Saccharomyces cerevisiae S288C: one gene and its partners. The gene in region 3 interacts genetically with the main gene of each other region. Each region holds a gene or a part of one and is shown on either strand. Other genes may lie near its edges.

The links.
Region 1: mutations in MRC1 (region 3) and MEC1 impair growth when combined (synthetic growth defect), as found in Saccharomyces cerevisiae (5 studies listed by BioGRID, with this or other methods).
Region 2: mutations in MRC1 (region 3) and POL1 impair growth when combined (synthetic growth defect), as found in Saccharomyces cerevisiae (5 studies listed by BioGRID, with this or other methods).

What each region holds. Positions count from the first base shown.
Region 1 is NC_001134.8:501,928-507,267, forward strand, and holds the start of MEC1 (protein kinase MEC1), read left to right. Parts: upstream 1-3,740; coding exon 3,741-5,340. Other genes in the region: HSL7 (protein arginine N-methyltransferase), read right to left, coding at 1-2,360; cyclin-dependent protein kinase regulatory subunit CKS1, read left to right, coding at 2,927-3,379. UniProt on the Saccharomyces cerevisiae protein: Serine/threonine protein kinase which activates checkpoint signaling upon genotoxic stresses such as ionizing radiation (IR), ultraviolet light (UV), or DNA replication stalling, thereby acting as a DNA damage sensor.
Region 2 is NC_001146.8:425,931-434,946, forward strand, and holds POL1 (DNA-directed DNA polymerase alpha catalytic subunit POL1), read left to right. Parts: upstream 1-4,156; coding exon 4,157-8,563; downstream 8,564-9,016. Other genes in the region: 2-isopropylmalate synthase LEU4, read right to left, coding at 1-824; MET4 (Met4p), read left to right, coding at 1,805-3,823. UniProt on the Saccharomyces cerevisiae protein: Catalytic component of DNA polymerase alpha, which in complex with DNA primase (DNA polymerase alpha:primase) constitutes a replicative polymerase. POL1 has a role in promoting telomere replication during interaction with CDC13.
Region 3 is NC_001135.5:20,507-24,106, reverse strand, and holds the start of MRC1 (chromatin-modulating protein MRC1), read left to right. Parts: upstream 1-2,000; coding exon 2,001-3,600. Other genes in the region: MIC10 (Mic10p), read left to right, coding at 1-75; ADF1 (Adf1p), read right to left, coding at 182-523; FYV5 (Fyv5p), read left to right, coding at 126-584; ribosome biosynthesis protein KRR1, read left to right, coding at 728-1,678. UniProt on the Saccharomyces cerevisiae protein: Required for normal DNA replication. Phosphorylated in response to DNA replication stress. Phosphorylation allows it to mediate the activation of RAD53.

The DNA of each region.
Region 1 (5,340 bases), on a different chromosome or scaffold from region 3:
GGTTCAAGCGCTTTAGTAGATTTGAGATCAAACATAGGCTTATTGATAGAATCTAAATGGTCCGGTTTGGCGGTTTCGCTGAGTCCGTGAATATCTTGTACGCTTTGCCAACCAGTTTCTAGATTGGATAGGAATCCCTGTTCTTCTTCGTTTTCAATGTCTTGGTCAAGATCAATTTGATTATCTAGCTTTTGATTGGTAGTCGCTGAATAATGTCGATTATGGGCTAAAGTTTTAGTGTCATCTGTAACTATAGACCTCGGAATAGTCATGCTTGCAGCAGTTACCGCCGAAGTGTAATTTGACAACATAAGGTATATGAAACTCTCCAAAGACCATTCATACCAAACTTTTTGTTCTGTATCGGAGTGTATCCGAGACATCAGCACAGAAAGTTCGGAGTCATCTATAAAGGATATTGGTTGCTTCAAAGGAAAGATAATTGGAGACCACGAGGTCATATTTGGTGTATGGTCACATTTCTTGATTAGATTTTCTTCTCGTCTGGTATTCATCAACGTTTCTTCGCTAAATTTTAAACGGACTGTGCTGTCATTGGGCAAAGTTGACAAGAATATATTGTTATATAAGTTTGCCGAGAAGAATCCGATAAAGCCATGGATTTCGCCGCGGTGCTTTATCTTGAACTCATTTAATGAACTTTGAGAAAATTCAACTGTAAAATCATCTTCGTCTTGGACAGTATCTTTTTGGGCCATGGGATGCTCGAACCGCCACACTTCATTTACCCTTGAGGATAATATACAGTATGGCACTCTATGGACTATCCAGGGCGCCTCCAAAGAGCGATTTGTTTGTGAGAGTTTTTGGTAGAATAATGGTGACGAAATGGGTGCTATGTATGAAGAGTATGACCTCGGTATGAAAATTGTGTCATTGTGGGAATGATATTTTTCAATAGACCAGAGACATTCTGGTGATAATTCATTGCAACCGAACGAACCCAGCAGTTCACTTATGCACAGATCTATCTGAATACGCTTTTCCGACGGCTCGTTGATTTGCCATTTGGTCATATCCTCCTTGATTAATTTCACTCTATTATCCCAACAGTCGAAATTTCTTTTTTGCAAGTACAGATATGCCTGTGGATTTTTTTCAATGGCAATTATAGAAACCTTACTATCCATAAACAACATTGATATTATCTTAAAAGTTCGATCCACTAAAGGTCCTCTTCCCGCACCGGCTACTAGGATCACCAACGGTCTCTTGGCACTCGCTCGAGGAGCAAGATCTTGAAGCGCCTCTAATATGGCAGATTCGTAAAGATCGTACTTCACCAAATCTTTTTCAAAAGTCAAATATGTGGAATTTAATAAATTATCTGAATGAGGTTTCAGAGGCGGCATTATCCGAGAGTCCTCTTGGAGCAAAAATTGGTGATTACTATTGGAATTTAATACTTTGTCGCCCTTTTTCAATAAGTAGTTTATATATTCCAAATAGGCAGATTCTCCGCCCTTAACATTATTGGCATATTTCTCCATCCCATGCAATATCACGCATAATTCATTACCCAAAATTTGTGAATCTCCATTAACCTTTTGGAACTTTAAAATCAAATTCTGGTTAAACTTGTGTAAAACGGGATAATCGTACTGATTACTGGCAAAGATGGATGAAGATACCAAAAGACACGAGACGGGTTCGGCTAACCATCTATTCAGCACATACGAAGGAGTCCTGGTTCTTGGCAAAGCCAAAGAGATAGTCAAAGAGGGATGATATTCGCATTGTTTCCGCACGGTATTCCACAGTTCCCAAGTGGCCAATGGATCGCTGTCTTCGTAAAGTGGCAGAGAAATGGATATGGTTAACGCAGGCGCAGCAAAGACGATGCGATTTTGCAGGAGCCTGTAAATCATCTGTCCATACAATTGCAGGTTGGACAGGTCCCGTGGAGGCGCCAATATTAGCTTATTGATTCCAACAAACCTCGCGTACTTACATTCGTTTAGAAGGACCTTTAAGCCAAGATCTCTTACATTTGGATCGCGACTCTCCAGCTCCAGCCAAGAGGATAACAGCCCTATGTAAGACGGCGTATCGTCATTGTCTAGCTTCTTGACGTTGAACGGGGGTATACAGATATCCTGCAACTGCGGTTCAGGAATTTGAAGCGGTTTCCAGTTCTGTATGGATTGTCTTTGGAAATCTTTGAAAACTTGCCCAACTATTTCCTTATATCTTGGCGTTGTTATAGGAAGCAAAACGTAATCATAGTTACTAGGCAGTTCTGGTGAATGACTAGAGACATTTTCTAGGAAACGTGACTTTTTGCTGTGCTGTTTATGATTAAAGCCTGGTTTGACACCAACAAATACGTTGCTATGCATATGCAAACTGAACCCTTTGTATATATAAAAATTATATGTATAAAAGAAGAGGAACGTCCGCACAATTCCACACACACACACACACACACGCTTTCACACACGCAATTTGAAATAGCTCCTATAGGGCTTGGGAATAGGATCACAAGTCACTCGAAATATACCATTTTTTCTATCACACATACACATTGTATAAAGCCATTTGTTTCAAAAAAATATAAAAACACTGCGCAGCGTGCTGTTTCGGGTTCCATTTGTGATTGTTTATTTTTCTTTTGGTTTAGCTCAGTGCAAAACGAGGGCTCGAAGAATTTTCAGATAAAACAGTACTCGAGCCCTGAGATCTGTTTTAGGGTCTAAAAGGCGGGTTATAAAAATATGTCAGGTGATTTTTTTTTCTCGTGGTATGAGATAAATAAAGAATGGAGCTTTTATGCATGAAAGGACAGCGGATGGCAGTAGAGCAGACATCAGTAGCATTCATTACAACTCTGTCGTAAGTTCTTGGAACTGCTGGCCGCGTTGGATACAACTAGATTGACACGCACTTACTCTCGTCTTACAGTACTATGTACCATCACTATCACGCCTTCCAAGGCAGAAAGCTTACTGACCAAGAAAGAGCACGCGTGTTGGAGTTTCAAGATTCCATTCACTATTCTCCGCGGTACTCAGACGATAACTATGAGTACAGGCATGTGATGTTACCTAAGGCCATGCTAAAAGTTATCCCATCTGATTACTTCAATTCGGAAGTGGGGACCCTGCGTATATTAACAGAAGACGAATGGAGAGGCCTCGGCATCACACAGTCTTTGGGGTGGGAACATTATGAATGCCATGCGCCAGAACCACACATTTTGCTATTCAAAAGGCCGCTGAACTACGAGGCCGAGCTGAGGGCAGCGACCGCTGCTGCTCAACAGCAACAGCAACAGCAGCAACAGCAGCAACAACAACAACAGCAACATCAAACACAATCGATTTCGAACGATATGCAAGTTCCACCCCAAATCTCCTAGCTTTGATATACTCTAATTACTGAAATTGAATTCCTTTTCAAGGCTCCATAACTATATGGAGCATACTATGTACTTATCATAATAAAGAATAAACAAACAAGCAAACAAAAAAAAAAAAAACTATGGATCATAGTTTTCACCAACAAGCATTAGAATACAAATAAAATTTATATAGTGAATATCCTTCAAATAAATTTCTTCTTTCCCTTATAAATCAAATAGATGGAACGCACGCTCCAAAACTAGTCAACTAGAAAAAAATACCCGCCGACGGACAATTTTGAAGAGAGATGATTAATGAAGACAAAGTGAGGCTGGACAACAAGAACGACATACACCGCGTAAAGGCCCACAAGACTGCATGGAATCACACGTCAAATATCTTGACGAATTGATATTGGCAATAAAAGACCTGAACTCGGGGGTGGATTCAAAGGTGCAGATTAAAAAAGTGCCCACGGATCCATCTTCTTCTCAGGAGTACGCCAAGAGTTTAAAGATCCTGAACACCCTCATAAGAAACCTAAAAGATCAAAGAAGGAACAATATCATGAAAAATGATACTATATTTTCGAAAACAGTTTCCGCCCTTGCCTTATTGTTGGAGTACAACCCCTTCTTGCTTGTTATGAAGGATTCCAACGGGAACTTTGAGATACAAAGGCTGATAGATGATTTCCTCAACATATCCGTTCTGAACTATGATAATTACCACAGAATATGGTTTATGAGGCGAAAATTAGGCAGCTGGTGCAAAGCATGTGTCGAATTTTACGGAAAACCTGCTAAGTTTCAGCTTACTGCACATTTTGAGAACACCATGAATCTTTACGAACAGGCCTTGACTGAAGTCTTGTTGGGCAAGACTGAGCTTCTCAAATTTTATGACACCTTGAAGGGTCTATACATTCTTTTATACTGGTTCACTTCGGAGTATAGTACTTTTGGGAACTCTATAGCATTCTTAGATTCTTCTTTGGGGTTCACGAAATTTGACTTTAACTTCCAACGATTAATCAGGATTGTTCTTTACGTCTTTGATTCCTGCGAACTAGCAGCACTAGAATATGCCGAAATCCAACTCAAATATATTTCTCTAGTTGTGGACTATGTTTGCAATAGAACAATTTCCACAGCCCTGGATGCCCCAGCGTTAGTTTGTTGTGAACAATTAAAGTTTGTATTGACTACTATGCATCATTTTTTGGATAACAAGTATGGGCTCTTGGATAATGACCCCACTATGGCCAAAGGAATTCTTCGACTATATTCTCTTTGCATTTCTAACGATTTCTCAAAATGCTTTGTAGACCACTTCCCAATTGACCAGTGGGCAGATTTTTCACAAAGTGAACATTTTCCGTTCACGCAGTTGACTAATAAAGCTCTCTCGATTGTATATTTTGATTTGAAAAGAAGGTCCCTACCTGTTGAAGCTTTAAAGTACGATAATAAGTTCAACATCTGGGTATACCAATCGGAGCCGGACTCGAGCTTGAAAAATGTCACTTCTCCCTTTGATGATCGATATAAGCAGCTGGAAAAGCTAAGGTTGCTAGTACTAAAGAAGTTTAACAAGACAGAAAGAGGAACTTTGCTCAAATACCGCGTGAACCAGCTAAGTCCTGGATTTTTTCAAAGAGCTGGAAACGATTTCAAGCTAATTTTAAATGAAGCATCTGTATCCATTCAAACTTGTTTCAAGACAAACAATATAACAAGGCTAACATCATGGACTGTAATTCTCGGACGTCTAGCCTGTCTAGAATCAGAGAAGTTTTCCGGCACTCTGCCAAATTCCACAAAGGATATGGATAATTGGTATGTTTGTCATTTATGCGATATTGAGAAAACTGGCAACCCTTTCGTGCGAATAAATCCAAATAGACCAGAGGCTGCGGGTAAATCAGAAATCTTCAGGATACTTCATTCAAACTTTCTATCTCACCCAAATATAGATG
Region 2 (9,016 bases), on a different chromosome or scaffold from region 3:
TGTGTAGAGATGCAAACCTTCTCACGCTCAGTAATATGGGTAGCGAAGTATTCAATCTGATCAGCATAAACATTTGGAGAGGCAACTTCTACGGTAGCAGGTAAGTTGAAAATGATTGGATTTTCCTCGGTAGGTTCCCAAGCCTTCTTAACAGCTTCGCAAATTTCTACAGCAAATTCACCTGGAGTATCACTGAAACATTCGGGGGAAAACTCATAGGACCAACGAGTGGCTTGTTGGGAAGGGTCATCCTTAGTTAGTTTCCTAACTAGTTTGGTGGCCTCTACTGCCTTGGAAATAGCTTCCTCTCTAGACATATTAAAAACAATTTCACGGAACATATCACTTGTTGCCAAGTAAGTATGTATAGTAGCCTTTTTAGCACCTGTTAATGCTTCCACCGTTCTCTTAATCAAGTGTTCTCTAGATTGGACAAGACATTGAATACTAACATCGTCTGGGGCGTTTTCTACAGCATATCTAGTGAAGTCGAAATCTGTTTGAGATGCAGAGGGGAAGGAAACCTCGATTTCTTTGAACCCAATATTGACCAGCTTGTGAAAGTATTCTTTCTTTTGTTCCACTGACATGGGATCCGGCAGAGATTGGTTACCATCTCTCAAATCTGTTGATAACCAACGAGGAGCCCTCGTGATCCGGTTATCCGGCCACTTTCTATTAGATAGCTTTGGAGCGTTAAATGGCTTGTACTTGGAGGAAGGGTCCTTAAGCATATTTTTATAGGCTAGCTTCACTGGAGGAATAACTCTTGAGGCTCTGGAGGCCGCATGCTCAGCAAGAGCAATAATACTCTCTTTAACCATGATTGTTCCTTGTCTTTTTGTAAGGAAAAAGTCTACAGTAAACTTCTAGTGTGAGAATCCTTTTTTTTCTTCAAAAAATACCCTTTGAAAGAACTGAGTCACTTACACGTAAGTTTCTTTTTACTGGTCAAGTTGAAAAATAACCAATAAATGATTATGGAAAGAACGTTGAAAGAGGAGAGAGGCTGACCCAAGAGGAGAAAACATCGAACCTACGCGACTCCATAGCGCACATCTCCCATGCGCCCGTGCTTATATATATATAAATATACATACACACATACATGCACGCACATACATGCACGCGCATGACAGTGACTGGCCGTTACTGTACAATTTTTTCAGCCAAGTATGACACACATTCAACTCAGCTTTTCTGAGGCCTTCTTTCTTTTCCTGCGCGTCGGTAGAGCGATGACTAACCTACTACTGTCTCAGAGCCGGTCCCGCTCCGGTAGCAATCCTGGGGCTGGTCATAACAGCCGAGTGGAAGTGTCAAAGCGGAGAACAGAAGCATAAGCTCAATCGCTGGACATACGGATGCTTATATACGTCTTATTGTCGTTGAAAAATATCGAATTTTTTACTTCATTTATCGAGGCTTCTTCGAGCACTTTTCCGCTATGGCTTTTTCCCCGTTTCCTTTTAATCACGTGCGCGGGTAGCACCCGGCACACAGCTGGTGTCTCGTCGCACATGCTATTGTGTGTCATCGGGCCACACAAGCATATTGCTTGAATTTTCTTTCATCGTTCAACTTAAATCCACCCAATCTAGATGTAGCCGTAGCATGTAATAACGTATATCCTTGTTTACATGCATCTGTGCCAGGTGAAACGGTCTGTTTGAACGCACATCATTTCATATATTAGTCAACTCCTGAAGGTCTTCTTGCCTGTCCGTCAACTGTTTAGACAGACTCTCGTCAATAAAGCGCACTTCTGATAAGCACTTTTATTCCTTTTTTTCCACTGTGAACGATGAAGCAGGAGCAGTCCCACGAAGGCGACTCATACAGCACGGAATTCATAAATCTCTTTGGCAAAGATACCGCAACACACCCTAGCAGCAACAACGGTGCTAATAATAATGGCATGGGGAGCACGAACTCGTTGGACCAGTTTGTGGCAACAGCCTCATCGTCATCTTCTCTGGTGACCAGCAGCGAGAATAGGCGCCCCCTAATAGGTGACGTTACCAATAGGGGCAACACTAACCTATATGACCACGCTGTCACGCCAGAAATACTCTTAGAACAGTTGGCCTACGTGGATAACTTCATACCATCTCTGGATAACGAGTTCTCTAATGTGGATTGGAATGTGAATACCACCCATAATAATGCAAACAATAATGGCGCGGACACTTTCAGCAGCATAAATGCAAATCCTTTTGACTTGGATGAACAACTAGCCATTGAGTTGAGTGCGTTTGCCGACGATTCTTTCATCTTCCCAGACGAGGATAAGCCGAGCAATAACAATAACAACAGCAATAATGGTAATGACGACCATAGCAACCACGACGTATTGCATGAGGACCCTTCTACCAATAATAGACAAAGAAATCCTCACTTCTTGACTCAAAGAAGGAATACTTTCCTAACTTCCCAATACGACCAATCAAAGTCTCGATTTTCGTCCAAAAACAAAAGAAATGGCAATAACGGCGAAACAAACAACTTTGGCGACAATATGCAAAATAACCATCCTTTTGAGCCAAACTTTATGGGAAGCCCTTCTCAGTTTCCCGCTGACGCAACTAATATGACATCAATCGACCATGGCGGCTTCACAAATGTTGACATTACATCAACTGAGAACAATACTACCGGTGACAATGGAGTGGATGCGCTATCAAATCTACTACATAGGACAACACACACACCGAACCGCTCCTCCCCCCTAAGCAATGTCACTTCTGCTCAAAATTCCTCTTCACAACAACGAAAACATTCGGAAAGCAAAGTCGATAGTAACAGCGATAATAACAGCTCCAACAAAGCCCCCAATATAACTGTTCCTGACTATTCAATTATACCAACCTCTGTTTTAGTAACTCTATTACCGAGGGTCAACGTGCCCAACGGCGCATATAACTCGTTGATCAGCGCGGGATTTGACAATGATCAAATAGATGCTATAGCCGCAATAATGGCGTATCATCATCAAAAAAAGATTAGGGAAAATAACAGTAATAATAATAAAAACATCAACACCAATGACAGTCAAGAGGCACCCATTCTAAAAAACATCAACGAACTTTTAAGTGTCTTAATACCACCCTCTCCGGCTGAAACTGCTGCGCCAACTACCTTATCAACGTCGCCTTCGTTCAATGAGCACGGTGTAGTAGCAGAGGCTTCTTTTCTAAGCTCCATTTTGGAACTGGGCATAAAGCATCCAAAAAGTAATAATATTCACAATCAACGACAACCTTCACGAAACGATCATAAAATATCAAGAGAGAGTGACGGTAACAATGGAAACGATAATGTCCATCATAATAACGCTGTTATTAAGTCAAGTACGACGCGTGGAGACGAAATTGCCAAGATACGATCCGAGCCAACTTTAAATGCAAGTTCTTCTGATCACAAGGAAAATAGTTTAAAAAGATCACACTCCGGAGATTTGAAAAATAAAAAAGTACCCGTCGACCGCAAGTATTCTGATAATGAAGACGATGAATATGACGATGCAGATTTACACGGCTTTGAAAAGAAGCAACTGATCAAGAAAGAGTTAGGGGACGACGATGAAGATTTATTGATACAGTCGAAAAAATCTCATCAAAAAAAAAAACTAAAGGAAAAGGAGTTAGAATCATCGATACATGAACTGACCGAAATTGCAGCATCCTTACAAAAACGGATACATACGTTAGAAACGGAAAACAAGCTTTTAAAGAATTTAGTTCTGAGTAGCGGTGAAACGGAAGGAATAAAAAAAGCTGAAAGCTTAAAGAAGCAAATTTTTGAGAAGGTTCAGAAAGAATAAAATAACAGACTATACAGTTTAATTATATATATATATATATATACGTGCATTTTTCTTAAAGAAATATAACTTTTTTCTTGTACTGCCTGCAATCTCTATTCTTCATTCATCACACATCTATTCAAACGCGTTAAAATTTTTTTGTTAGCCTATAAGTAAAACGCGTCGCGTGTATCCAATTTTACTGAATTAAATTCTTTACTCATTGGATGATATATATCTTCTTGGTCTAGACAACGAACACATACCAATTCAGACTCACGAGAAAAAAAACTGTCTTCACTCTGCTATTAGAAACCAAATAGTATCAAGGCATAAAATAAACAGTGGAAAATGTCTTCTAAAAGTGAAAAATTAGAAAAATTGAGAAAGCTGCAAGCCGCTCGAAATGGTACATCCATCGATGATTACGAAGGTGACGAATCAGATGGTGACAGAATATACGACGAAATCGACGAAAAAGAATACAGGGCCAGAAAGCGCCAGGAATTGCTGCATGACGATTTTGTTGTAGATGACGATGGTGTAGGCTACGTCGATCGTGGTGTCGAAGAAGATTGGAGGGAAGTTGATAACAGTTCAAGTGATGAAGACACTGGAAACCTTGCTAGCAAGGATTCTAAAAGGAAGAAGAATATAAAAAGGGAGAAAGACCACCAGATTACAGATATGCTGCGAACTCAACATTCCAAATCAACACTGCTAGCACATGCAAAAAAATCCCAAAAAAAAAGTATCCCCATCGATAATTTTGATGACATTCTTGGTGAGTTTGAATCTGGTGAAGTAGAAAAACCCAATATTTTACTGCCATCCAAATTAAGGGAAAATTTAAATTCTTCGCCGACTAGTGAATTTAAATCGTCAATAAAGAGAGTTAACGGAAACGATGAGTCAAGTCATGATGCCGGTATTTCTAAAAAAGTCAAGATTGATCCAGATTCAAGTACTGATAAATATTTAGAAATCGAATCATCACCGTTAAAATTACAAAGCAGGAAACTGCGCTACGCAAATGATGTACAGGATTTATTGGATGATGTGGAAAATTCCCCAGTAGTAGCCACAAAGAGACAGAATGTACTTCAAGATACGTTACTAGCAAATCCACCATCCGCTCAAAGTTTGGCTGATGAAGAAGATGATGAAGATAGTGATGAAGATATTATTCTGAAAAGAAGAACTATGAGAAGTGTGACAACAACTAGACGCGTGAATATAGACTCAAGAAGTAACCCTTCAACTTCACCGTTTGTCACAGCACCCGGAACGCCAATCGGTATTAAAGGACTAACTCCAAGTAAATCTTTGCAGAGCAACACCGATGTTGCTACACTTGCGGTTAATGTCAAAAAGGAAGATGTGGTAGATCCGGAAACTGATACTTTCCAAATGTTTTGGTTGGATTACTGTGAAGTGAACAACACTTTGATTTTATTTGGTAAGGTTAAACTAAAGGATGATAATTGTGTGTCAGCCATGGTTCAAATCAACGGTCTCTGTAGAGAGCTATTTTTCCTTCCAAGAGAGGGTAAAACACCTACCGATATACACGAGGAAATAATTCCGTTACTGATGGATAAATATGGACTGGATAATATCCGCGCTAAACCTCAAAAAATGAAATATTCGTTTGAGCTTCCTGACATTCCATCTGAAAGTGATTATTTGAAAGTCTTACTTCCATACCAAACACCGAAGTCCAGTCGAGACACCATTCCATCGGATTTATCTAGCGATACCTTTTATCATGTTTTTGGTGGGAATTCCAATATTTTTGAAAGTTTTGTTATTCAAAATAGGATTATGGGACCATGCTGGTTAGATATAAAGGGAGCAGATTTCAATTCAATTCGTAATGCTTCTCACTGTGCGGTTGAAGTTTCGGTAGATAAGCCTCAGAATATCACGCCTACTACAACAAAGACAATGCCTAATCTGAGATGTCTATCTTTATCGATTCAGACGTTAATGAATCCCAAGGAAAATAAGCAAGAGATTGTTTCGATAACGTTATCAGCATATAGAAATATCTCGTTGGATTCACCGATACCTGAAAATATAAAACCAGACGACTTGTGTACTTTAGTAAGGCCGCCTCAGTCAACTAGTTTCCCATTAGGTTTAGCTGCACTGGCAAAACAGAAACTACCCGGTAGAGTCAGGTTGTTCAACAACGAAAAGGCCATGCTATCTTGTTTTTGTGCTATGTTAAAAGTGGAAGACCCAGATGTTATCATAGGCCATCGTTTGCAAAATGTCTACTTAGATGTTTTAGCTCATAGAATGCATGATCTCAACATTCCAACGTTCAGCTCTATTGGCCGTCGTTTAAGAAGGACTTGGCCTGAAAAATTCGGTAGAGGAAATTCGAATATGAACCATTTTTTTATTAGTGACATTTGCTCTGGTAGGCTGATATGTGATATCGCCAATGAAATGGGTCAATCATTAACACCCAAATGTCAAAGTTGGGATCTTTCAGAGATGTATCAAGTTACATGTGAAAAGGAGCATAAGCCGTTAGATATTGATTATCAAAATCCACAATACCAAAATGATGTAAATAGTATGACAATGGCCCTACAAGAGAATATTACTAATTGTATGATTTCTGCTGAGGTGTCTTATAGAATTCAATTATTAACCTTGACTAAACAGTTGACAAATTTGGCTGGTAATGCATGGGCCCAAACGCTAGGCGGTACAAGAGCTGGTAGAAATGAGTATATCTTACTACATGAATTTTCAAGAAATGGTTTTATTGTTCCTGACAAAGAAGGCAATAGAAGTAGAGCTCAGAAACAAAGACAAAATGAAGAAAATGCTGATGCACCAGTTAATTCTAAAAAGGCAAAATATCAGGGTGGTTTAGTTTTTGAACCTGAGAAAGGTCTTCATAAGAATTACGTTTTAGTCATGGACTTTAATTCTTTGTATCCATCTATTATCCAGGAATTTAATATATGTTTTACCACCGTTGATAGAAATAAGGAAGATATCGATGAGTTACCAAGCGTACCTCCTTCAGAGGTGGATCAGGGTGTTTTACCAAGGTTATTAGCTAATCTGGTGGATCGTCGACGTGAAGTTAAGAAGGTGATGAAAACTGAAACTGATCCCCATAAGCGAGTTCAATGTGATATTCGTCAACAAGCTCTAAAATTGACTGCCAATTCTATGTATGGTTGTTTGGGTTATGTTAACAGTAGATTTTACGCAAAGCCGCTCGCCATGTTAGTCACTAATAAGGGTCGTGAGATTTTAATGAATACAAGACAACTAGCTGAAAGTATGAATCTTCTTGTAGTTTATGGTGATACAGATTCGGTCATGATAGATACCGGTTGTGATAATTATGCGGATGCAATTAAAATTGGCTTGGGATTTAAAAGGCTAGTAAATGAGCGCTATAGATTATTGGAGATTGATATTGATAATGTTTTTAAGAAGTTACTATTACATGCCAAGAAAAAGTACGCTGCTTTGACTGTAAATTTGGACAAAAATGGTAATGGAACTACTGTTCTAGAAGTTAAAGGGTTGGACATGAAGCGTCGTGAATTTTGTCCACTTTCGAGGGACGTTTCTATACATGTTTTAAACACCATCCTGTCAGATAAGGACCCAGAAGAAGCATTGCAAGAAGTGTATGATTACTTAGAAGACATCAGAATAAAAGTGGAAACCAATAACATTAGAATTGATAAATATAAGATCAATATGAAGCTTTCAAAAGATCCCAAGGCCTACCCAGGTGGTAAAAACATGCCTGCAGTCCAAGTAGCTCTAAGAATGCGTAAGGCTGGTAGAGTTGTTAAAGCTGGCTCTGTCATCACTTTTGTGATCACAAAGCAGGATGAAATAGACAATGCAGCGGATACGCCGGCTCTTTCTGTGGCTGAACGTGCCCATGCATTGAATGAGGTAATGATTAAAAGTAACAATTTGATACCTGATCCACAATATTATCTCGAGAAACAAATATTCGCGCCGGTAGAAAGGTTGTTAGAAAGAATTGATAGCTTCAACGTGGTGCGTTTGAGTGAAGCGCTTGGTTTAGATAGTAAAAAGTATTTTAGAAGAGAGGGCGGTAATAACAATGGAGAAGATATTAATAATTTGCAACCCTTAGAAACAACAATTACAGACGTTGAAAGGTTTAAGGATACTGTAACATTAGAATTAAGTTGCCCATCATGCGATAAAAGGTTTCCATTTGGTGGTATTGTATCTTCAAATTACTATCGCGTGTCATATAATGGTTTACAGTGCAAGCATTGTGAGCAACTTTTTACTCCTCTTCAATTAACTAGCCAAATAGAGCATTCTATAAGGGCACACATTTCCTTATATTACGCAGGGTGGTTACAGTGTGATGACAGCACATGCGGTATAGTTACAAGACAAGTCTCCGTTTTTGGTAAGCGTTGTTTGAATGACGGCTGCACGGGTGTCATGAGATACAAATACAGTGACAAGCAATTGTACAATCAACTTTTATATTTCGATTCTTTATTCGATTGTGAAAAAAATAAAAAGCAAGAATTGAAGCCAATATATCTACCCGATGATCTCGACTACCCCAAGGAACAGCTGACAGAATCATCTATTAAGGCTTTAACAGAACAAAACAGAGAACTAATGGAAACCGGCCGGAGCGTTGTTCAAAAATATTTGAACGATTGTGGACGTCGCTACGTTGATATGACTAGCATATTTGATTTCATGCTAAATTAGGTAAGTATTTTGTATGTGTTGTGTGATCTCATGAATATTCTATATAGTAAGAAAAGAATACAACTGTACATACGCATCCTACTAGATACCTAATGTACAGACATCGGAAGGAGCGCTAGGAAGCTTTTATTATTGAAGGTTTTCAGCGATATTCTGAGAATGTTTTTTCGGCTCTGGTGATCAGTTCTCACATGCATCATCCTTTAATAAACCCATGCATTAAGATTCGCCTTATCAGCAAGATCAGATAAGCGAACAGCTTCATCAATGAAATAGAATGCTTAAATCTTGTGAAGCACTGTCATAAGCCAGTTTGATAAAAGCAATACCCACAATATAGTTGGATATCATTTACCTTGATCTGCTCTTGCTTTCGAGGTGACATAGCATTTTTAGCCATCTGATTCCTTAGGTTCAAAGGCACTCATCATTCCTCCTCTAAAACACATTTCA
Region 3 (3,600 bases):
GGTGTTGGAAGAGGCTACGCCGAGGGCGACGCCATCTTTAGATCCAGCGCTGGCCTCAGATCCTCGAAGGTTTAGTCTTAAGCGACGATGCTTTATATATATTCAAAAAAAAAAATAATAAAAATATGCAGTACCATTCCGCTCTATATGTATATATTTACGTAACTTTCACCACTATTCCCTATAAGGAAAAGCCGGATATCATTTCGATCTGCTTCAGCATGCTGTCGTTTGTTTTTGATTTTTCTGTCCGAATTTGCTCTCGTACCTTGGAGTCCTTTTCCTGGTCCTTGATCAGCTCCTCGGCTTTCAAAGTAGTCTCAGCTTTCAGTTTAGCTGGCTCTTGTGTACTTGCCTCCCGCAGCAGCGTCGGTATCATTGTTTCACTACTTTTGTTTAACTTTTCCACTTGTAACTTTGTTCTCTTCCTTTCAGCGGTGCTGATCGACCTCTTTTTTTGTACTTTCTTGCCAACACCAACATTCTTGCCCACACCTTTCTTTTTCATGCTACACTTGCCCATTTTTTCCTTGCTAAATGCCCTTGAGTTATTGTACCTTATTATAGCAGGCTTGCACATCTGAAAACGAAAATTTTTTTTTCCTTATATTTCTAATTCTTTTAGCGATGAGATATGAAAATTTTCAAAAAAAAGAGATGATGAGGTTAACTATTGTAAAGTAGACAGCAAACAAAAGGGTCACACAAATATCCAAATTGGCAAACGATGGTGTCTACACATAACAGAGATAAACCTTGGGATACGGATGATATTGATAAATGGAAGATAGAGGAGTTTAAGGAAGAGGATAACGCATCCGGTCAACCTTTTGCTGAAGAGTCCAGTTTTATGACTTTGTTTCCTAAATACAGAGAAAGTTACTTGAAGACGATTTGGAATGATGTAACAAGGGCTCTAGACAAACACAACATAGCGTGTGTTCTAGATTTAGTCGAAGGTTCTATGACAGTAAAAACAACTAGAAAAACATACGATCCCGCTATCATTTTGAAAGCCAGAGATTTGATCAAATTATTGGCGAGATCCGTTCCTTTCCCGCAAGCCGTTAAGATCCTACAAGATGACATGGCATGCGACGTTATTAAAATTGGTAATTTCGTTACTAACAAAGAAAGGTTTGTCAAGAGAAGACAACGTCTTGTAGGCCCTAACGGTAATACTTTAAAGGCTTTGGAACTTCTAACTAAATGTTACATTCTAGTACAAGGTAACACAGTAAGTGCCATGGGTCCCTTCAAGGGCTTGAAGGAGGTCCGTCGAGTAGTAGAAGATTGTATGAAAAATATTCACCCTATCTATCATATCAAGGAATTAATGATAAAAAGAGAATTGGCAAAAAGGCCAGAGTTAGCCAATGAAGATTGGTCAAGATTCTTGCCCATGTTTAAGAAGAGGAATGTGGCCAGAAAGAAACCCAAGAAGATCAGAAACGTCGAAAAGAAGGTCTATACTCCATTTCCTCCTGCCCAATTGCCTAGAAAGGTTGATTTGGAAATTGAAAGTGGTGAGTATTTCTTAAGCAAGAGAGAAAAGCAAATGAAGAAATTAAATGAGCAAAAGGAAAAGCAAATGGAAAGAGAAATCGAAAGGCAGGAAGAGAGAGCAAAAGATTTCATAGCTCCGGAAGAAGAAGCATACAAGCCAAACCAAAATTAGTTTACACCGCTACGGAATCCTTCATATATGTCTATATATATATAGAAACACACACACATTTCGTTTACTTAGATATGTTTGTAAAGTGAAAGAAATTCTTACTAGGACACCAACTCTACTGGCTCTCATATGCAGAGAGATATACATCAATACTTGAAATTTTCCTTATCCTTCTTCGACGCGTCATGAAGAGATAGAATGCGTAAAACGCGTTTGCTTCAATAGCATTTCAAACACATTATGTTGGAAAAAAACCAAGAACAGACAAACAACTAAGGAAGTTCGTTATTCGCTTTTGAACTTATCACCAAATATTTTAGTGATGGATGATGCCTTGCATGCTTTGTCCTCGTTGACTGCAAAGAAGAGAACTACCACCTACAAAAAAGTTGCTGTTCCCATACTAGATGAGAACGATAATACTAATGGAAATGGGCCCAATGACATAGACAATCCGCCAGAGTTGACTGGGAACGGGTTTTTATTTGCCAATGCCACATTAAATCGTGTTAAGAACAGATTAGAAGGCAAGAAAGCACCCGAACAGAATCACAATAATGGAAAAGATAGGAGTGAGAATTCGTTACCAACTCAATTAATCTCTAATCTTTACGATGGTGGTGAAGAGCTGGAGAAATCCGAAGTTAAAGATAATAGTTACAGTGAGAAAAATGTCTCTTCTTCATTCACGCAGACGCAAAGAATACCTGTCAGCATCCAACAAGACAAGGTGTTTAACGTACCTATCCATTCCGTTAATGACGGGAAACCCACCCAATTAATCAAAGAAGATGGTCTCGTCAACGAAACTTCTCAAGCGCTGAAAACACCTCTCACGACAGGACGGCCAGGGGCTACACAGCGTATAGATAGCAGCGGTGCAACCTCACAAACTCAGCCTATAAAATCAATTGAACCACAATCCCAAATAATTACGACTTCCAGCAATCATTCTAATGCTCTGTCGCCGAAAATTCCTATAATTCCAACGGAACTTATTGGAACTAGTCCTTTATTTCAGTCCATTCAAAATCGTGGTCCTGACACCCAAATGGATGTACCACCACAGACTGCGCATGATGAGGATAAGACACAAGCAATTGGTATTCCACAGGCTACGCATCAGGAACAGAAAACCCAAATAGATACAGTCGCACAAACACTTCAAGATGAAGTACCACACACATTAAAAATTCGGGAAATACAAAGCGAATTGGCTTCAGAAGATTCTAAAAGGGAAAAAGCTAGAAATGTCGAATACAAAAAACCGCAAAAGCCAATACCAACCAAAAAATTTTTTTCTAAAGAGTCTTTTCTTGCTGATTTTGACGATTCGTCCTCAAATGAGGACGATGATATAAAGCTGGAAAATGCACATCCAAAACCAGTACAGAATGACGATGAACTGCATGAGAACAAAAGTGTTGAATTAAATCTAACTGATGAGACAAGAATAAATGAGAAAAGGGTTCCACTATTGAGCTCCTATGCTAATAATTTGAAACGGGAAATTGACTCCTCGAAATGCATAACACTGGACCTCGACAGCGACAGTGACGAATATGGAGATGATGATATGGATAGCATTAAATTATCCAAAGATGAAAGCGTTTTGCCAATCTCTCAGTTATCAAAGGCGACTATATTAAACCTGAAGGCAAGACTCTCTAAACAAAATCAAAAGTTGTCTCAAAGGCCGAATAAAAGTAAAGACCCAAAAGTTGATCATAATGTACTATTAAATACCTTAAGGAAAGCTAGCAGGAAACAAATTCTGGATCATCAGAAAGAAGTGATTGAAACGAAAGGTCTGAAGCTGGAGGATATGGCCAAAGAAAAGGAAATAGTAGAGAACTTGCTAGAACAAGAAATTCTTAGAAATAAAAGAATCAGACAAAAAGAGAAGAGAAGGGAAAAACTTG